3 linked regions of the Notamacropus eugenii genome follow. The protein of the gene in region 3 interacts with the protein of the main gene of each other region in a pairwise test. Links are inferred from orthologs where the notes say so. Each region holds a gene or a part of one and is shown on either strand. Other genes may lie near its edges.

The links.
Region 1: the proteins of CCDC184 (region 3) and PBLD interact in binary tests that used the Homo sapiens proteins (3 or more experiments, as listed by UniProt). The two-hybrid records come from large-scale screens. The link is inferred for Notamacropus eugenii from reciprocal best matches to the Homo sapiens genes CCDC184 and PBLD.
Region 2: the proteins of CCDC184 (region 3) and GPANK1 interact in binary tests that used the Homo sapiens proteins (3 or more experiments, as listed by UniProt). The two-hybrid records come from large-scale screens. The link is inferred for Notamacropus eugenii from reciprocal best matches to the Homo sapiens genes CCDC184 and GPANK1.

Annotation. Positions count from the first base shown.
Region 1 is NC_092872.1:260,695,630-260,703,111, forward strand, and holds the start of PBLD (phenazine biosynthesis-like domain-containing protein), read left to right. Parts: upstream 1-4,479; 5' UTR 4,480-5,098; exon of another isoform or gene 5,099-5,234; 5' UTR 5,235-5,263; coding exon 5,264-5,347; intron 5,348-7,482.
Region 2 is NC_092873.1:85,320,783-85,328,441, reverse strand, and holds GPANK1 (G patch domain and ankyrin repeat-containing protein 1), read left to right. Parts: upstream 1-4,656; coding exon 4,657-5,264; intron 5,265-6,529; coding exon 6,530-6,974; 3' UTR 6,975-7,212; downstream 7,213-7,659. Other genes in the region: CSNK2B (casein kinase II subunit beta), read right to left, coding at 251-333, 3,920-4,007.
Region 3 is NC_092874.1:220,041,095-220,047,852, forward strand, and holds CCDC184 (coiled-coil domain-containing protein 184), read left to right. Parts: upstream 1-4,072; 5' UTR 4,073-4,470; coding exon 4,471-5,037; 3' UTR 5,038-6,247; downstream 6,248-6,758.

The sequences.
Region 1 (7,482 bases), on a different chromosome or scaffold from region 3:
CTGTTTTCTCATTTGTGAAATTAGTTGCATTAGATGACCTCTAAATTCCAACTCTCATTCTCCGATCCTATAAATTCCAGTAGACATCTGTTGGTATTACTTACTTTTTTCATGTCGATTTCATATCACAGGAAAAATCCACCCATGTTTTGAAAAGGATGGACAATGGTATTCATCAACAGAATAACTTGATTCAAAAGCATAATTTAAATATTGTATATACATGTGATGACAAGCTTCATTGAGCATTGCAGAATGTACCTGAGCAATTTTCAATCCAAGCTAAATATTATTACAGAATTAGCACTGTATCAAGAGTTTATGTTCAGAATGACTGGTCTCTTTGTCTCAAATCCCTCTTCATTCTAGTCTACCTATCACTCAGCTGTCAAACTGAACCTTTTAAAGCACAGCTCTGACCACACCACTTCCCATTCAATCAACTCCAGTAGCTGTTTATCACCTCTAGGTGATAGATGGAAAATCATCTGTTCAGACATTTTCAGAGTGAATGAAATTTCCAACTAAGTGATCAGAAAAAAATTTTAAATTTGCAGGGAGAAATGTTAGAATAAAATTTCAGTAATATTACCATACATTGAGATAAACATTGGAGAAAAAAAGCAGCTGAGTAATTTTTTTCCTGTGTTAAAACATAATTTGACAATATGTTGTGCAGAACTAAAATATTATTTGATTATGGAAAAGTAAAAACTGCTTCTTTCCTTAGTTCTAACTCAGCAGCAGAAATTACAATAAAATGTTATTATGCCTTTAAGGAAAAAAAGGTGCATAGAAAATTTATGGAGTTAGAATTTTACTGAAATTTTCACATCAAATATAATTTTAAAATTGAATTTTATGGAAGTTTCCTTTCAAAGTAAAAATAGAACCTATGCATTTTTGAAGCATGAATGAGAGAGTGGCATTTAGCTATTTTTGCTGCACAGAAAACCTTTTTAAAATGACCATATTCAGGGTTAAGCTCTCCATTGCTGAGGTGCCTAAGGAAGGATTTTTAGAACAGTGCCTTCCACACCTTGAAAAGGAGCTTATTAAAATGGACAGAGGATGGTTAACATGGAAATTATGAAAAGTTAAAATTTTTTCTTTTAACATTTCTATAGTGATATATAGCATATTTCTATAGAAATATAGTATTTAACATTTCTATTCTTATATATACGTAGATATTTTTGACATTTTTTCCTTGAAATTTTTATGAGCCTCCAACATCAATGGTCTTCACTCACTCTAATATAGTACTTAGTTCTCCTATAAGAAACCTAAACCTATAACCTTGTTTCATTACCCTCTAATCATTCAGATCCCTGTTACCTCTCGCTTACACAACAATAACTTCATTAGTCACCCTACCTCAAATATCTTTCCACTTCAATCTTCCATGTGTGAAAAGACTATTCGTAAACTATGGGTCTGACCAACCAAGAAGTTTCCCTGTGCCTCCATTATCAATAGCACAATGGCTTGGCACATCATATGTGCTTAAAAAATGCTTTCCCAAAAATTCATTCTAGGATAAAACACTTATTTGGCCTTCCAAGCTCTTCCCAGCTGGTTCTAGATAACCTTTCCAACATTATTATAGGTGATTCTCCTTCACACATTCCATCCAAACTGACCTCCTCATGTTCTCTCTGCAAAGGCTGTCCCCCTTAAAGGTCCTTTCAAAGTTGGGCTCAAGTACCACCTTCTCCATGAACCCTGTCTTCATCACCTCTAACTGTTAAGTGTCCTTTCCCCCAGAAATTACTCATATACATCTTGCATTTCCCAATGTGTACACATGGTTGTGCCACAATGGAATGTAAAGTCCTTTGAATTGTTCTGTATTCCCCAAATTGGGTGGTGTTCAGCATATGGCAGATCCTCAATGCTTACTGAATAAGAAAACAATGGAAACAATATAATTTTTATTAAGGGCAAGAATAAAAATAAAGTAACAGAACTGAATCACAACCAATGTTCTTTGTAAGTACTGCCATTTCTTTTCCCCTCTCAGAGAAGTTTAAGTACTGAACATCTTCATGGCTTGAACTCAGTTCTATTTAGTAAGGGGCAGCTAGTGGTGCTGGGCCTGAAGTCATGAAGACTCCTCTTCCCGAGTTCAGATCCAGCTTAAACCCTTACTAGCTGTGTGACCTGTCTGCCTCAGTTCCTCATCTGTAAAATGAGCTGGAGAAGGAAATGGCAAACCCCTCCAGTATCTTTACCAAGAAAACCCCAAATGGGGTAGAGTTTGAAACAACTGAACAAAAACAACCTGGTAAGCTTAGGCTATTATTTTTCTACAGCCAAGAATAGGGGAATGGAAACTTCAGCGAAGGCACCTTGAACTCAGGGCAGGGTTCTGCTAGTGGCTACAGCTCTACAGCTGTTAAGCTGTCTCCTTCCCTGGCTCCACTTGACTCCAGATTTAACAGCAGTTTGCTCAACAGGCCCAAACTCTTGCTGCCACTACTCTCTGGTTCCCAGAACCCACCACTGCAGTGGTGGGTTTCTCCCTCATTTCAAATCTTTCTTTTCTCTCAGTCAACCATCACAACATATGAAAGGCCTGCTTTGCACAAAGCAGTGCATTGATTTATGCAAGCTAGGAGGACTTGGAAATTCAGCCAGGAAGTCCCTTCAACTATGGATGGAACAGAAGCTGATCCATACCTAGCTTCTGAAATGGTCAGTCCAGGGTCTGGCACACCAGGCACCATTTAATACTCAGTCCTTAAAGGAGAGAGCGTGCAGAGTCCCGACATTGGGGGCTCCGGAGGTCAGTCAGTCACCTAGTGAAGAGGAGCACCAACTCATAGTGCACAGTGTGTGGGAACATGTCCACTGGCACTGCTTGTCTCAAGACAAAAGGCTCACCCTGGAGATCCTTGTTAGGGTCTGGGGGACAGCACAACTCAAGGAAGTTTCTTTTGGCCTTCCCACTGGGGTAGCAGGAAACAAAAATCAGCGTCTTGATGGCTCTGCAATTCCGAATAGCCTGGACCACCTGGCTGTTCAGTCCAGTCCGGGAAGGGTCCACCATGGCCACAAGCGACTGACCAGTCTCCTGTGATTTTAAAAGCTGCGGCACTATATTCTCGACCTGGTCAGCATGGAATTCCCAGTTGGTGATTCCATTAAATGCTGCGGTCCATCTGGCATCCTCTACCGCCTGCCCCACCAACCCCGTGCTCAGGACCTGAGCTGTGCGCTGGGCCAGGGAGAGGCTGGTGGCCCCAGTTCCTTGGCTAAGGTCAAGGAGAAGAGTATTGGGGTCCACCCCGCTCAGCTCTCCCACCACCCTGTAGAGAACCTCGACAGCAGCCGAATTAATCTGGAAAAAAGCACCGGGAGAGATTCGGAATTTCAGGCCCGGGAGGTCTTCGAAAATGTGAGGCTCTCCAGCCAGGAGCTGGTAGCGGGGCGGCTGCTGGCCGCCCTGGACATTCTCCTGGAAGTAAAGGGAGGTCAAGTCACAAGCGGCCCCGGGGCCGTGGGTGAAAAACTCCTTGACCTGCTCCTGGTGAGGCCGGAGCTGGTCGGGCCGCAGCTGCTGCGGATGGAAGGCGATGATCGCCATGGTGTGGCCGCGGCCGGTGCTCCGGACCGTGAGCTCGTGCCAGTGTCCGCTGCCGTGTGGCTCCAGGTAGGGCTCGAGCGGGCTCTGCTCCAGGAAGGCCTGGTAGCAGCGGGCCACGCGTTGGTGCTTGTCGGGGATGTGCTTCAGGTGCCCGGGCTGCACGCACACCAGCTGCTGCTCCCGCCGAGAGCCCAGCACGTAGCCCACGGTCCGGGGCCGGCCGTCGGGGCCCTGGCGGATGGCGAAGTTGCACTTGTTTCGGTAGCCGTCGATGACCGGGGACGGCCGGAAGGGCTGCAGACGCGAGCAAAGGCTCCCGGCCTCGGCGTCCGGGCTCCCAAGCGAACGCAGGCGAGCCTCGAGGCGCTCCAGGAGGCCGCGCAGAGTCTCCGCCTTCACCCGAAGCTGCTGCTCGTAGTCCAGCCGCCACAGCGGAGTCACCAGGTCCGCGAGCCGCTCAGGCCACGAGCCCGGCTCCGGACCCCAGTCCTCCGGCGCAGGCGCAGGCGCCGCCGGCGCAGCAGCCGCCTTCTCTGGGCACGCGGCGCCCAGCCAGGCCCGCGGGGAGCTCCAGGGAAGCGGCCGGCCGCGCGACAGCAGCGCAGTCCGAGGCAGGCAGGGGCCGAGGTACCTCATGACCCGGGCAGGAAGCCACCCTCGGCCGAGGACTGCACCGGAGCCGGCGGCCCCGGCACTACTGGCTCAAGAGCGCCGGCGTGCCGGGAAGTCACTTCCTCCACGCTGCATCTCTCACCGCAAGCCCGGTCCCCGCCGCTCTCCCCACCAATCAGAGCCTCTCTCTAGTTCTATTCGCCAATCAGAGACCAGCTTCCGACAGCAGCGCCCTCTGGGAATTCTCCAATCTCCGCTAGGGTTTCATGGGAAATGTAGTCTTCTCTCTTGCCCACATGGAGTCCTTGTTGCCATGGGTTCCCCGCCTCTTTCACTTTCTCCCAAAGCAAAAGGCGAAAGGGAGCGGGCCCGAGTAAAGGCAAAGGAAGACTCGTCCCAGCCAGTCTGCCTGTTGTCCACGCAGAGACATATCAGGCAAGCCTCTCGAAACGTTTGTACTGGCTCATTATATTGCACTCAGAGAGCGCAGCCCTTTGCACGTTAATCAATGCTTCATTCCTCCGTTCGTTGTTTACGATTTGCTATGGAAATTCCTCGCTTGGGTCTCAGTTCGGTACTGCGAAGCAAACCTCCCATAGCGACAAGAGCTGCAGGCAAGAAACGGGGGATGTACCGAGGAGCCGCGTCGGAGAAAGTCGGAGCCACGCCCCCCGTCCTCGGCTGAAACCACGTGGAGCTGCGCGCTGCCGAACCTGACCCGCGATCCGGGAGACCTCTCACCCCTCCCCCGCAGCCCCGGGCTCTGCGGCGGTGCCCGCCCCCAAAGCCTCCGCTGCCCCTGGGATTGTCTGCTCCCTCCCTTAAAGGCCGTTCAGACGTGAGACTGTGGGTGTCTGGGAGAAAACTGTCGTGTAGCGCAGGCAGCCTGCCTTAGAGGTGAAAAAGAAAACTGTTCTGGACGGCTAAGTTATGTAAATGTTCTCTGTCCTTCAGTCTCTGGGCCAAGGTCCCTCTCGTGCCACCAGTAAATCGTTAACATTTTGGTTTTATAAACACCCTCCTCACTCCGCAGGTTTGACAGTTTTATAAAGAAGCAGGAAGATGCGGCTCCCTGTTTTTGTAGTAGATGCTTTTACAGGGGAAGCGTTCCGGGGGAACCCTGCCGCTGTTTGTCTCCTAGAAAATGTAAGTTGTTTTGTTTTTCTGTTTTGTTTTTTCTAATAGAACAATTTTCCCAACACTTTCTCTCCTCCCTAGAAAAATACACCTTCCTGGGTGCCTGTCCTGTTCATTATTTTTAGTGTCTGAATGCTTGTTTTGATCCAGTTTTATAAAGAATGCTCAGAGCTAGGCTAGATCCGAGGAAAATGTCCGTAATAGGTAACTAGACGAAAAAGCTGATCAAATTGTTGCATGTAAATATAGTGGAATATTCTTTCAAGTTAATGCTAATAGGATTTTGCTGAGCCAGCCTCTAACCTGAGAATGACAAAACAGCAGACCCGAAACTGGTTCAGTAGTCAGGTCCAAGGTTAATTAGTTTCATAATGAGAAACAAACTTGCAAATGGGGAATTCTCCCGATCCGAATTCTACCTCGCAGAAGTGAAGGCTGAGAGTATATACATAAATCCTGTGGGAAGGTGGGTTACAAACTATCAGTCGTTCTCTGGGGCCAGAGCGGTTTCCGGACCAGCCCACAGATGGAAGACCATACAACAATTCTGGAATCTAGTCTCGGTGGGTGGTGGCTTGGTGGGTCACTGGACCACCTATTCTGTGAGAATAGTCTGTTTGCTGTTTCCCATAGGTGGCATATGGTGGCTTCATAACTGCCATCTCCCCTACCAGACCCCAGTCCCTTCTCCTGCTTCTTGGAATCTGGGCTCCCTTCAAGGATCAGCTCAAAAAATTCTCCTAAAGAAGCCTTTTCTGATTCCTCCAGTTATTTGTAGTATCCTCCCACTAAAAAATATTTATTGCCTTGACTTTTGGTATACCTATTTTTTTCTCCCCTTTGATTTTTATTTTTGTATGTCCAGTACCAACACTATGCTAAGCATTTTATAAAAAGCCTATTGAGGCTGAAACATATACTCTCATTACGTTGTGAGTTTTTTGAAAACAGTAAGGTATGGGCTTTGTTGAGCACAAAGTAGGTACTTAATACATGTTTGTGGAATGAAAGAATGACCTTTGGAAGCAGAAGTGGAGGAAGGTTTTCAGAACATTTAAAAGAATATTATGACTAAAGCTCTGGAGTAAGGCTAATAGGACAGGGAAGAAGGAAGTAGAAATGACAGTTTTAGCCATTAAAATTGTGGTGAAACCTTGAAGACTTGATTAATAAATAGTAGTTATTGTTGTTCAGTCATGTCCAACTCTTCATGATCCTTTGGACCCTATTGTCCATGGGATTTTCTTGGCAAAAATACTAGAGTAGTTTGTAATGTCCTTCTCCAGTGGAGTAAAGCAAACAGAGGTTAAGTGACTTGTTCAGGGTCACTCAGCTAGTAAGTGTCTCAGGCTGGATTTGAAATCAACTCTATCTTGACTCTAGGTCAGTGTTGTATCCACTGAACCACCCAGCTGTCCCCAACAAATATTTACTGAATACCTATTATACACTTCACATTGTGGGGCAGACCAGCAAAGGCTAAGATGTGTAAGGAGTTAATGATCTGACTGGGGAGACTAGATTTAACACAACCATTAGAGAATCATGCAGCACCATCTGTAATTAAGTACTACCTGTTGTGTTTGTCCTGCCCTACCAAAGAAGACTATGACATCAGAGAAATAATGACATGATTTGTACTTGACTTTGGGTTGAGTGAGGGATGGCTGTGCAAGGTGACCAGCCTCACTTCTTCCCTGGAACCATCTGGGTCCAGTGACCATCAGATATTCATCAAAATGACTGGAGATGGACCAGGAGGCAACGGGAGACCTTGGCCCCTGTAGGCCAAGGCCTAATCGATACTCGCTTAAGGTGAGGTAGTGCCCATTCAGTGAATAGGCCTTTTAAGAAGTAGTCAGGGGATGGTCCCTTTAATGAGGCAAGAAAAAAAAATTAAAAAAAAATAACTAAATCAGACTGTGAGGGAAACAGCAACAGTTACTATTGATAATCACTCTTAAGCCAGGAGGGTCCAGAAAACAGCCCTTAAATGGAGCTTGGGCAGGGGCCTAGTGTTGTCCAATCTATGGGCTTCAGAGTGCAATAGGTTTAAGGTTTTGGGAAAGGAAAGGAAAGGAAAGGAGAGGAGAGGAGAAGAGAGGGGAGGGGAAGGGAGGGGAGGAAAGGAAAGGGGAGAGGAG
Region 2 (7,659 bases), on a different chromosome or scaffold from region 3:
CTGAATTCAGTGTCTCCCTTAAATAGTGGGAGGGCAGGACATCGGGTTCCTGAAAAAAGGGGAAGCTTCAGGGGCACAATGCCATGGTATACGATGACAGTGAGTGAAGGGCAGTACCAAGGCCTGGAGTGGCTAGCACAGAGGGACTGCCAGAAGAGTAAATGAGAGGAACGGACACATGGAAGACATTGTGTCTGAGGGTCATTAGTAAATGGGAACCTGGGGAGCCCTTAATGACTAGAGATCTTACCTCACAGAAGAATTCATTGCCTCGAAGCCCACAGAACCATGAGATCCATGATACTTCCTCTGAGCTACTCATCTTTACGTCAGCTGAGGGAAAAGAGGTTAGCCTGGAGGGCGAAAGGCCAGCCTCTCTCCAGGGCTCTCCATCCCTTTGACATTCTCTGCCTTCCCCGGGCCCCCTTCCGCAGGGGGCTCACCATTCCCCTCTCCAGGCTCACAGTTATGGGGAGCCTTGCTCCACATCCAGGTGAGAACTCCTCTGCAGCCTTTCCCCCGCCCCGCGCCCCCAAATCTCATATTCTTAGCTGAGCCTTTTCTTCCCGAGGCTCAGAAAACCTCTGTCCCTTCCCTGTCCCCTTCCCCCCGTGTGAGTAGAGGGGGGCGATCCAGGCCTGGATCAGGCTCCCTCCTCACACCCCCTTACCGACCCCCTCGGCTGCTCAGAGGTCCCTCTCCTCCCCCCGGGAGGCCGGGCCCCGGCCAACTTCCGCAGGCCCGGTTCTCTGGGCTGCTCCCTCCGAGGGCCGCCCCGGGCCGCTCAGCCCCTTTCCCCGAGACTCCGGAGCTTGGGGCTTCTCTGAGGAGGACCCTCAGCGTCTCCGCGCACCCTGGGTCCGGGACCACCTTGGCCTCCCCTGCCCTTCCTTAGGACCTCTCCCTCCCCAAGGCCAGGCGTCCTCAGGTCCCGCCCCCAACGTGCGGAAGGGCGCCCTACGACTCACCTACCGGGCCGGGGCTGGGGAGGGAGAGGGAGAAGTTGCTCCCAGGGGCGGCGGCGGCAGCAGCAAAGCCGCGCAGCGAAGGCCGCGGACCCGACCGCGGCAGGCGAAGCGGTGGGGGGGTAGGGGGGAGGGGAAGGGGGAAGAGAAACGGGAGGGCGGGAAAGTACACAGAGCGCAGGCGCAGGAGGTCAGGCTCCCCCCGTGGAAGACGGGATATGGAGTCCCTGAACAGTAGTAAGGCTGGGCTAATAATACGACTTCCGGAAGACACCCTTGCCCCTGTCCTCTCAGTGAAATAGGGCAGGGGGCGGGGCCACAAAGGAGGAAGGACTGGAGGCTCTCCTCTAAGATGCTGGAAACAGGAGCCCGAGATCGAGGTTAGCGCTGGTGAACATGGGAAATGTAGTCCTCGTGCCCACAGAGAGCAACACCCAGACTAGGTAAGGTTTGGAGAGTCTTTCTCCTACACATCAGCGAGCCGAACAAGATTGGGATTAAATTGGAATTGGACCGTCTTTCTCCTATACGTCTCACAGGTAAGGTATCTACAATAACGGTCTAGCTCTTCAGTTTATACTAAATGTACTGCATACTTCCCCAGTCATCTATCTGTCATCCCTCACCCTTATTTCCAGTCATCTCCCCTTTTCTCACAATCCTCATCCCCCTAACTAGCCTTCATCATCCCATTCTCCTCAATCATTTTTCATCATCCAGTACTTTAACAAACTTTTATATAAACGCCTGTTATATATTCAAAGCACTGATGGGTGTGGGATTACAAAAGACACTATGAAAAACACTACTGGAGAATACATGTATTCCAGTATTCCAAGTTGATCTGTGCAATCTCATTGATGTGGGTATTTTTCGACCCCGCAATGAGGTACATATACATAAATACAAGATAATTTGAGAGAAAACTGAAATCTAGGAGGATTAGGAAAGGCTTCCTGCAGGAGTTGGCATCTGAGTTGAACCTTCAAAGAATTCTAAGATATGAAAGTGATGGAGTACATTCCAGAGATGAGACACATTTTTCCTGTACATTTTCCTAAGTGAGGTTGGAAAGTCTTTCCCCTACATATCTCACAGGTAGAGTATGTATCATAATGCTTCTCAGTTTATTCTTAATCTTTAAAGGCACAGCACATCACAGAAGCAGGAGATGGAATGCCAAATTCAGAGAAAAGTAAATAGGTCAGTTTGCCTATAACACAAGAGTGGATGAAGGAGAGTAGTGTGAAATAAATCTGGGGAACTAAACTGGAGCTAGATTGTGACTTTAAAAGCTAAATTGAAGAATTTGTCTTTTATCTTAGAGGCAAAAGTAAGCCACAGAACTTTCTTGATTAGGGGAGTGCCTTGTTCAGATCTGTGTTTTAGCAAGATTTTTTTGCTTCTATGTTAAAGATAGATTGGAAAGGGAACACATTGGAAACAGAAAGAGCAACTTGGAGGCTATTACAATAGTCCTGGCTAGGCATGATGAGTGCTGATTGCATGGTGGGAAATGAGTTCTATTTTGGATACGCTGAGTTGGAGATCCAGGTGGAAATATCCAGCAGCCAGTCAATAGACTTTATTCATCAGTGTTTTTGTCTTTGTATCCAAATGCCTAGTACAGTGCCTGGTACACTGTAGATGCTTAACAAGTGTTTGTGGAACTAACTGATCTGGAACTTGAAATCTGGGAGAGAGATTAGGGCTAGATATGTAGATTTGAGAGATATCTGTATACAGATGATAATTGAATCTTTGGGAACTGATATAAAGAAATACTGTAAAGAAAGAAAAGAAGGGGACCCAAGACAGAGCCTCAGGGGGAACACCCATGCTTAGTGGTTTGAATACCTATGATGTTCCAGCAAGGGAGACTGAGGAATGGTCCTTCAGGCTTGAAAACCAGGAGAGTGTAGTGTGATAAAAGCTAAGTTGAGAGCAAGTATTTAGGAAGAGGGGGTGATGAACAGTTTCAAAAACTGAAAAGATGAGGAATGAGAAAAGGCCATTTGATTTATAATTTAAAGAAAATTAATAATTTATAATGAAATTATTAATAACCTTGGAGAAACCCGTTTTGGTTGTGGTAGTGGGAGAGGTATGGAGTTGGGCTGTGAAAAGGATACATGTAGGATGATAGTTTGAGGGTGTGCTAGTGAGGGTTTAGGCAAGGATGGGGAAGGCTTGAGCATGTTTGTAGATAAGAGGGAAGGAGTCAGTGGATAAGAGGAGAGAGGGGCAAGCTCTGGGAAGAGATAAGATGAAGGGGTACAAGTTGAGAGAGGACTGACAAGGAGAAGGGGTGCCTTCTTATAAGAAGAAAATGGGGGATAATTGAGAGGGTTGGTTTATAGAATAGGTAAGAACAGTTCATGAAGGATAGCTTCTATTTTCTCAGTAAAGTATGAAGGCGTTCCTTCATCCCATCTTCCTTCATCATAGTTCATCTTCCTCTCTCCCTTTATCCAACCTTCATTACCCCTATCTTTTATTTCTTCCTCCAAGTTGCCAATTAACCCTTACCATCTATCTCTATTCCCACCTCTCCACAAATCACCCCATACCAAGTTAGCCCCTGCGCCAGCTCTACCAAACAGGTCCTCATGTCCACCCTCCTCCAGAGCACTGGATGACCAGGTTTCTTTTTTGCCCCTTCTCTCCAGAGAATGGAGGTGGGGTGGTACTAGGGAGTGAAAGGGTTTAACCCCAGCCTCCGGGGTAAAGGGCTTGTCATGGGAGGGGGCCGCTAACCTGAGGTGGCACCAGCCATCCTGTTAGTTGTCCCCTTGCCCTTCTCCATCTCCTCCTCCACTCCTAGGGGCTAGGCTGGCCTGCAGCAGCACAGGGCTCTTTGTCTAGCCCTCAAATGCTGGTTGCACTAAGAGTGAGAGGCAGCCTGGCCCTAATTCGCGTTTAGACTTGGCTGCACCCTGCAGGCCTGTGCCCACCTTCCTTGGGCAGCTGACTCCACCGAAACCCCGTCTCTGGCCCCAGGAAATGGGCTTCGGGGGCCACTCTGAGAGGAACGAAGCACATTGTGGGGCGTTATGCAAACGAAGAACCCTAACGGCCGGTGCCCCTCCCTTCCCCCACGGGGGCCTTCGCGCCTCTGAGCACGCGCCTGCCTCGAGCTACCGAGCAATTCGAATCAAACCGGCGGCTAAGGAGCGGAGAAAAGGAGCAAAATAAACAGAACGCGGGCGCAGAATCCCGTGTGTGTGTATGTGTCTGTGTGTCTATCTGCCTCTTTTTAACCACCTCCGCATCGCTCCGGCCTCCAGTCCTCCATCTCGCCAGGTTATTTTACGGGTGCTGTCAAGGCGGCACGCTTCAAGTGTTCCTTTGGTTCCAGACTGAGACTGTAGTTTGACGCAGGCGCACTCTCTTCTCAGTGATCTACTTCCGGAGTGTTTTCTGCGCCGGCGCCGTGTCTCAGCCTGGCGCTGGTTGCTACTGGGACTTGAAGTCGAGTACCGAGCGTAGGGAGTTAGAGGTGGGATCCAGAGAGGAGGCCTGTAATCATTGAACTTACTTCCTGGTTGCCGGTCGCTTACAAGTCTCGGTGGGGGGCTTTGCCGCCCTTTACTGGGTTAGCTTTAGGATGACCCACTTGGCGTTCGCTCCACGCTGGCCCGGTAACTGCTCCTGAGGGCGGCTGGCTTGATGTTCCCCCACCCCAGCAGTCATGACCCGCCCCGCCCTTATCGCCTTCACCCCGGCCCGGGACTCGAGTGACCACTGGAAGGACGGGCGGCAGCAGCCGGAGTCGGAGCTCCCCCTGGACGGTGCAGCCGCCCGGAACTTCTATGAAGCCCTGGTCGGGGTGGAGGGAGACGCCCTCAGAGGGCCCCCGGCACCCTCGCGGGCGCCCCCCAAAGGCAGAAAACGGACGCAGAAAACTAGGCTGGAGAGGGCCGGGGCCGCGGCGGGAGCGGCTGCGGCCCGCGCCGAGAGCGATGGGACCCGGGAGCGACAGACCGCGCGGCTCCTGCGGGCTGCGCAGGCCGGGGACGTGCGGCAGCTGCGCGCCCTGTTGGAGCCCCGAGGCCCGGGGGCCCGCGGGGCCCATGTCAACGTCAACGCCCGGGACGCTTTCTGGTGGACCCCGCTGATGTGTGCAGCCCGGGCGGGCCAGGGACCGGCAGTGCGCTACCTCCTGGCGCGAGGAGCCGCCTGGGTGGGCGTCTGTGAGCCCGGGGGGCGCGATGCTGCCCAGCTGGCCGAAGAGGCCGGCTTCCCCGAGGTGGCCCGGATGGTCCGAGAGAGCGGTGGAGAGGAGAGGCCCCAAAGCCGGTGAGTGGCAGCCCCCTGCCACCGTCCCAGTCTAGCAGCTGACGGGGAAGGGTCCGAGTCACCAAGAAAGTTCGGTGACCTTCCCTGCGAGCCTGGAGCTTACTGGCTAAGGGCGAAAGCCATGCAAACAGCTTCATGCTGGAATTAATAAGAAAGAGATAAGGCGCTAGCATTAAGGGAGGTGGATAAAAGCCTGTAGAAAGTGAGGTTTTATCTGGGACTTGAAGCCATGAAGTGGAGAGGAGGAGGGAGAGCATTCCAGGCCTGGGGCACGGCCAGAAAGAAAGCCCATGGTCTGGAAGATTGTCTTGTGAGAGGAAGGCAAGGTGGGCATTATCACTGGATCTCGGTGTGGGGGTGAGTGCGGTGTAGGAAACCTAGAAAGGGACTCGAGGGCTCCCTTGTCCAAGGACTTTATTTACCAAATAGGATTTTAAGTTTGGAGGTGACAGCCCATGGGTCAGATCTGAGGATGCTCCTCAGCCTCTTCCCCCATCTACTGCTAACCTAGGTTCTTGGGAGGATCAGATGAGGTAATAGCTGTAAAGGATTTAGAGCACAGTGCCAGGCACATGGTCAACTTTGCAAATGTTAGCTATCGTCATCTTCACTATTACACTGTCCTACCCCACCCCATTAAGGAGTCGGTGGCCAATAATACCTAGCCTCCTTTCCACCTGGGGATCCTTGAGATTGTTCTCTATGGTAGCAAGGCCCTGGTTTCTAAGGACTGGTGAGAAAGTATACCCGAGGAGTATGGATTAATAAGGTGTGGTCACCCTTTTCAACTCCAGAGCTGAGCCAACCTTGAGCCTCCTGTCCAGTAAAGTAATACAGTCTTTGAAGACTTATTCAATGCCAGTAAAATCTAAGGCGCTGTGTATGCTGGAAGTTGAACATGCAAAACTACACAGATTCCCTGGAAGAGCTTACAGCCTACCAGGGACTGATACGATGCTCTGTCTTACTACCTCTGACTGGGGGAAGTCTGTCTGTCTGGGCCTCAGTTCCTCATTTGTTAACTAGAGAGTGGGGTTGGACTAGATAACTTCTAAATCTCCTTCCAACTTTAAGTTTATTGTAGTTCTTGCATAAGTGTTTTACTAGGTTGAGTAAAAGGCACAAAAGAGCTCCAGAGTGCTTTAGGAAAATTAGAGGAAGAAACATGAGCAGTTGTGTATCAGGCTTCATAGAAGAGGAAGCAACTGAACTGGACCTTGAAAAGACGCCCACCTTCACTCTTTTCTACCTTTTTTTTTTTCCAGGCCCTGCTCTCCATTGCCAAAATACTGTGAGACTTGTAGTTCCCATTACCGAGACACTAATCACAACAGCTCTACTGCTCACCTCCTATCCCTGTCCCATGGGCCTCAGCCACCCCCCTTGCCTCCAGGAGTCCCTGCCTCTAGCCCTGGCTTTCGATTGTTAGTGAAGGGGGGTTGGGAGCCTGGATTGGGACTGGGACCCCGGGGAGAGGGGCGCACTGCTCCCATTCCTACAATCCTCAAGAGAGACCAGGAAGGTTTGGGATATAGGCCAACTTCTCAACCCCGAGTCACACATTTTCCTGCTGGGGACCTTCGTGCTGTGGCTGAAAAAAAAAGAGCACCTCGAGCTGCCACTTTGGGCAAGAGAGAAGAGAGACATCGAGAGGAGAGGAGTCGAGCTTGGGAACGGAATCTACGGACTTACATGAACCTTGATCTCTGATCCTGACTATATAAACTATGATCTCTGATCATAGACTCTTTGGAGACCTGTGACTACCTACCCCCAAGGATCTTACTGCTGACATCTGACCCTGAACTTGGAATTTTAGTCCCTTGGGTCTTCCTAGACTTGAAATCTTGGATTTTGTTTAGTTTGATTTTAGCCTTTGCTGGAGGGAGATTGCAAAGGTTGATTCATCCTTGCTTAAAGTTGAGAAATAAACATATCTTTTTTGTTTTGTTTTGTGATGTTTTCCTGCTTTGGAGGGGAGTAGGACAGTTTTGAGAGAGGGTGGAATTTGGAACTGGGATGGGGAAGGGGCAGCAGTAAACTCATACTGAGTTATCTTCCACCGTTTTGGCTATGTGTTGTAGAGTGATAAAATTTAGAGCTAGAAAAGACTTGAGATGATCTCATTCAACCCATTCATTTTCACAGAAGGGGAAAGTGGGACCAGAGAGGCCAATGAACCTTAAGTAATTTATAAACATTTTAAGTGCCTACTGTGTTCTAAGAACTGTACTAAGTAGTTCTTTAATTGTCTACAGGGCAAAATACAAACTCTTTTGGCATTTAAGCCTTTTCCAATCTATCTTGAACCCATCATTCTTTCTAGACTGATTTCACATTACTTCTCACCCCCCTCAGCCAAAGTGAACTGTTTGATACTCCTCATGTGTAACAT
Region 3 (6,758 bases):
GCTTTGGATGCCTTTCAACAGAGGGCTTTATATTTGATCCCTCAGGTGACAAGGAGCCACTGGAGTTTAATGAGTGGTGGGGTAAACATTATTAGACTTGCATTTTAGGAAGTTCACTTTGACTGATGCACAGAGGATGGATTGTAGTGGGGAGAGACTTGAGGCAGACAGATCAACCAGCAGGCTCTTGCAATAGTTTAGGTGTGAGATGCTGAGGGCCTCTATCAGGGTGATGGCAGTGTCAAAGGAGAAGAGGCATATGAGAGATGTTACCAAGGTAAGGAGCTTATGAATCTTTTGGCAGGGCATGGGTGGCAGCAGGAAAGTTTATGCTTTGGAGATAACCACTGATAGAAGTCCAACACCTAGCCCAGCTGGCCAAAAGACATGGACCTAGAAAGATACCATGAATACCCAAGTCAAAGATGAAATGCTGATTCAGTATTCCTATGAAATGCTTCATCTTTTGATGTCTTAGGTAGTAAACTTCTGGTAGAGCATAATTCTAGTTATTATTTATCCTGCATTTCCAAAGAGGACCAATGATATTTCAGGATGATGTCTTGACTCCTGCATGTATTGGATTTAAGTGAGGCAGAGTTGTATAAAGATGTCAGCTTCACTCTCTCTCCCAGTTAGGGATGCCCAGTGACAAGACAAAAGTCAGGAAGATTGGCGATGGCCCAGATGCAGTGGATGACTTTGGCATCTTTAACATCTGACCAAACTCTTAAGTGCTCCACAGCTCCTGCTTCAGCCACCTTCATGGTCATTGGAACAAATTGTTGGCATTTGCCCATTCATTCAGGGGAATTCTTCAGGTGCTTGGGGTAGACACTCTCCTAACTCACTGCTGGATTTGAGGCTCCTCAACCTGGTTTAGCCCATCTGCCATGCTTTACTTGGGTGTGACAGATATGCATACTACAGATTCTTGGAGCCACAGGTGTAGTTGAGTATCAGGTGGACACCAAAAGTGAATGAGAAGCCCTGCAAAGGACTTGGCAAGCTCTCATGCCAGAGCTGCTAGTCCTTCTTGAACACCCATACACACCATAATGGTAGTTACATAATGGTAGTAATAAGTTACTGTTCCTTGTTTAAGACTTCATCATTGCTATCATTAATTCATTGTTGATGGAGCTGTGAGCTGATCCAACCATTATGGAGAACTATTTGGAACTATGCCCAAAAGGCTATAAAAATGAGCATACTCTTTGACCCAGCAATGCCATCACTAGGTCTGTATCCCAAAGAGATCATAAAAATGGGAAAAGGACTCACATGTACAAAAATATTTACAGCAGCTCTTTCCAAGAACTGGAAACTGAGGGAATGCTCGTCAATTGAGGAGTGGCTGAACAAGTTGTGGTATATGAATATAATGGAATACTATTGTGCTGTAAGAAATGAGGAATAGGCAGACTTCAGAAATATATGGAAAGGCATATGAACTGATGCTGAGTGAAGTGAGCAGAACCAGGAGAACAGTAACAGCCACATTGTGTGATAATTGACTTGGATAGACTTAGCTCTTCTCAGTAATGTAAGGACCTAAAACATTTCCAAAGGACTCATGATGGAAAATGCCATCCACATCCAGAGAAAGAACTATGGAGTCAGAATGCAGAGCAAAGCAGACTATTTTCTTTTTTGTATTGTTTTTTCTTTCTCATGGTTTCTTCCTTTCATTATGATTCTTCTGTGCAACATGACTAATGTGAAAATGTGTTTAATAGCAATGTATATGTAGAGCCTATATTCAATTGCATGCCCTCTTGGGAAGGTAAGGGGAGAAAATTTAAAACTTATGGAAGTGAATGTTGAAAATTAAAAATAAATTAACTTTTTAAAAAAGACTTTATCATGGCTATGTTAAGGTGGAGTAAAGCTCCTTTTGTTAACTGTTCAATGACTTAGGAGTGCCTTATTTCTTCCCACTATCAAACCTGAACAGGGAGCTGATGTCAAATCCATCCCTAACATCTACCAACATTTTTCATTTTCTTCTTTTGTCAAATTTGCCAACCTGATGACTGTGAGGAAGAACTGCTCTACAGCTTTTCAATGGCCCTCTTAAACTGAGGTACCAAGAACTGAACACAATACTCTGGTTGACTTCTGACAGGAAAAGACTGCAGTGCTCTTGAAAGCTGTGCCCCTCTTCATGCAGTCCAAGACCACATTAGCTCCTTTTTGCTACATCACTTTACTGATTTTTATTGAGCTTCAGTCCACTAAAACTCCCTTATGCTTCAACAAACTACTATCCAATTGTGCCTCCACTATTTTATGCTCGTGAAGTTGATTTTTTTGTGCACAAGTATAAATAGTTACATTGTATCCCCACTGAATTTCATCGTGTTAGATTTAGCTCAGTGTTCTAGCCTGTCAAAATAGTTTTAGATCCTGACTTCTGATTCAGTGTGTTCGTAATCACTCCCAGCTTTATGTCATAAGCAAACAGCACAGAGCCACAACAGATTCCTGTACTTTTCCAGTGTAGACCTCCAGCTACACTGACTTTGAACCATTAGTGACAAATTAATGGAATTGAATTCTTGAGTTAACAGGTTTTGTGACCTTGAGTAAGACCTTGGTGGTATAATAGGCAATCAGTCTAACACAGAAGAGTAAAATACCAAACGTAGAATATCATTTTAGTCCTGGGAGCCACATTTTTAAAAGGAGATTGACTAACTGCCATCAGGGAGGGTAAGCACATATTCTGGAAATTTTAAGGAGCAATGAAAATATGAAATATTACCGTCATGACTATTATTCAGTAGTGAACTAAAGAGAGCAGAGATTTAAGGAACAGGTAATTCTCAGTAAGGAAATGGGACAGGAAATTTTCCTTGGTATGCTGGTCTTTCCTTTAGGATATTAAAAAACCTAGCTATGTTCAGTCACATAACCTATTGCTCCCAGTGACCTGATCTAGGGTTGTGTATCATTCTTATTGAAGAAGTAAGTGATGATATAGATGACTAGGTTCATTTAACAAATGAAGGGCTGTTCCTATCCATGGGGTTGCTAAGAAGTATAGGTTATTTTATTTCTAGCTACATCTCTGCTTCCTTTCTTTCCAAAGGACTGGAAGAGACAAGGAAAGAACATTTATGAAAGGCCTAATAAGGGCAAAATACTTTTCTAGGTTTTTTGGAAAGATTGGATTATACGTTCCTAACCATTCTCAGTTTCTGTGCTTACTGCCAGTGGTCTGCACAGCAGCACCAGACGAACAGCAATCTCTCCCTTGCTTTTGGAAGGGGTGTCCCTATCCACAGGGTACTTTGGGAGCTTCAGAAGTCCCCAGGGACTGGAAGAGAGGAGAGTGGAGCATGAGCCCCAGCTCCAGTTAGCCTGAGAAAGAAATCTAGCCGGGGGTGATTCCCAAGGGAAACGTTTGTGTATTTTCCCAGGGTAATTCTCAAGGGGTGCCATTAATGCGTGTGTGTATTTTCAGAAGTTGCAGGGAACCCAGGGAATCCTCTCTCTCTCTCTCTCTCTCTCTCTCTCTCTCTCTCTCTCTCTCTCTCTCTCTCTCTCTCTCTCTCTCTCTCTCTCTCTCTCCCGTCTCTCTGTTTCTGTCTCTCTGTCTGTCTGTCTCTCCCTCTCCCTCTCTCTGTATCTCTCTGTTTCTGTCTCTCTTTCTCTCTGTCTGTCTCTCTCTCCTCTCTCTGTCTCTGTCTCTCCGTCTCTCTGTCTCTGTCTCTCTCTGTGTCTGTCTCTGTCTCTGTCTCTCTCCATCATTCTCAAGGGGCACCACTGCTCTTTGGCTGTGCAGTTTTAAGCTGCAAACTGCAGTCTCACTGTCCTCCGATGAACAAGAATCCTGCCTATTCGCTTTCTTGACCCCCCCCCCCCCCCCCCCCCAGGCCTGAGGGTCAACGACCCCTCCCTCAAGGGCTGAGACTCTGACTGCGGGGGCCGACGGCGGTCCTCCACCATCACCTTGGGTCTGCCTCCCTCCCCCCAGCCCCTCCACGCCTATCTTTCCCCCCTCCTCTCTCTGGTCCTCCTTTCCTAGTTGCCATGGAGACTCACGTCATCTACGTGCCGTGCGTCGCCTTGGAAACGGAGGAGCATCCGAGGCGCGGCCGGGAGACCCGCCCCTCTCCGCCTCTCTCCCGCGGCCGCTGCCAGTTAATGGCGGCGTAGAGGTAGCCCTCGGACCCAGAGCCGGACCGGGCCTCGGCTCCCGCCCCGGAGCTGCCGGGCGCGTTCCTGAGAGGAGGCCAGGAGCGTGGGCTTCGCGTTCGCGGCTGCCGGCGCTAGGCCGGTGAATCTCCCAGGGTTGCCGGGGGCCAAGTCCGAGGGCCCCCGTCCCAGGTACTCGCTCGCTCCCCGCTCGCCCCTCGCCTCCCGGGACCCTCCGCCCGTGGGCCCCCTGCTCCCCTCGCTGCCCCCAGCCCGGGGGGGCCGGGTCGGACCTGCGGCCGCCGCAGCCGCCGCTTCCGAGAGTCAATGGAGGACGGACCGCTGGAGATCCTGACCAAGGACGGTGACCTCCCGGGCCCCCTGGAGGTGTCCTCGGTGCCCGCTGTGGGGGACGTGATCTCGGGCGAGTACAACGGCGGCATGAAGGACCTGATGGAGCACCTGAAGGCCCAGCTGCAGGCCCTGTTTGAGGACGTGCGGGCCATGCGGGGGGCCCTGGACGAGCAGGCCTCGCACATCCAGGTGCTTTCCGACGACGTGTGCGCCAACCAGCGGGCCATCGTCTCCATGTGCCAGATCATGACCACCGCGCCCCGCCAGGGCCTGGGCGCGGCCGGCGGCCCGGAGGGAAGCGAGCGGGGCTCGCCGGCAGCTCCCAACACCCCCCCTCCCGAGGAGTGGGGCCGCGGCTCGCAGGATGGCGAGGAGGAAGGGAAGGAGGTTCCCGGGCCGGCCACACCCACTAGCCACTGTGAGAGCCCGGAGAAGCCCTGTGCTCGCCTGCTGGAGGGGGACGGGCCGCTCGGGGATGCCCACGACCTGCCTGACGTAGCCCTGCTGCATCTGGAGATGGAGGGGGAGAACTCAATGTAAGGAGGCTCCAGCGGGGGGCAGTACCTCCGAGGCACGGTTCGGGGTTTTTGGTGCATGAGGATGAGGGAACTGGACAACTCGGTGCAGCATGCTTCACTTGGGTGTCTGCTATGGGATGCTGGGCAGAGACTCCTCTAAAGAGGAACTTGTAATGAATGGGATCATCCTGGATTCTTTCTGCCTAACAGACTGACAAAGAGGCTAACAGGGAGGAAACCATGGGGCATCTCACCTCTGGACACCCACCCATCCTAACCCTCCCCTTGCCCCTTGCCAACACAAGAGCCCCTGAATTGTGTAAATAAAATTCTTTTTATATTCTGAAGATGTACTCCTTAGGACTGAGGTAAATTAAATCCCTAGAGATGTATATAGAGATTAAGGAACTGAGGCTTTTGTTTTGGCCGCAAGAAACACCCGTCTGCTGAGACCCATTGACACTCAGTGCTGCTGTCCAAGCCCCTTCCCCCAGGATAGAGATCTCTACACCTTCTTGTTGGTTCAGGAAGCTTGAGGAATGACTGCATGCAGCCCAGAGAGTGTGAATGAAGGGGTTCCAGAGGCATCTGGGCTAAAAGGCAAAGGCTCTCAATGTGCATGAAGATTTGTTAGCTCAACTATTAGGATATTGCATGCCGAGAAGATCCTGTTTTGTTATGACTTCATCTGGGATAGCATATCATTGGGCTTTTAGGAACATTTACCCCCAGAGCCCGGGCAGAGACTTGGGAACCTGGAGACCACAGGGATGCTCAGCAACAACAGTCTTGGGGTGCTCCTGAGGTACTCTTGGGTACCACAGCCAAGATCTCTCCTGGCCAGACTTGCTTACCTCCAGTTCCTTTCCTTGCTAAAATTTCCCCTCTTGTAGCCAGCCACTCTGTGTTTGCCTCCATGATGTCCTGTGTTGTGTTATATGTGTGTATTGTGTTGTAGTGTGTGAGCCCCAAAGGGCAGGGTTTGTGGCTCACGTATCTGGTTCAGAGGGCCTCAGACCCCTTGTTGAGCCCCAGACTATCCTGACGCTTCCCCCCAACCTCTTCAGGGCATGGAGCATGTGGTTGTCCTGGGGTTCTGTAAATGATGTGCTGCTTTCCCTGCCCTTACAAGTACTGAATCTGTGTGACCTATCCCCTGCTCCTGTGTACTCTTTTTTCTTAGTGCTTTCCTTGATGTTGACCTTAATAATAAAGAGGCGTCATCTCCCTTCCTTGCTGACTGGTCCTGGGGGCAGGTCTGACTCTCCATTATACTCTGTATGAGGCAGGGCCCAGAGCAGAGAGCCACGTAGACTCAGGGGAAGTGTGTGTAGTGAAAAAAAGCTCCAGAAAACCTGAATTTGAATCCTGGCTTTGCCTTTTACAACTCAACTTTGAGCAAGTCACTTCGCTAGGATTTAGCTTTCTAACAGTAAAAATAGCTAACATTTGGGGTTGAACTAGATAACAGGGCTAATATTTAAATCACTGCTTTTAAAACAGTGCTTTAGACACAACTTTGCAGTGATTGCAAAGCACCTGCCATATCTTGTGTCACTTGATTACTAGATAATCCATTCCAGACTTTAGCCTGTAATGCTGATTCACCACCCTTTATCCTCCCTGATCAAGGCCGTGACCTGCATGCACACGTCAATATTGGGCCTGAGTTAGTGGCTAGTTCTGCCTATCTTCTCTATGCTTGGTTTGGAACTAAAGTTGAAGCAAGAATTCAGCTGAGAT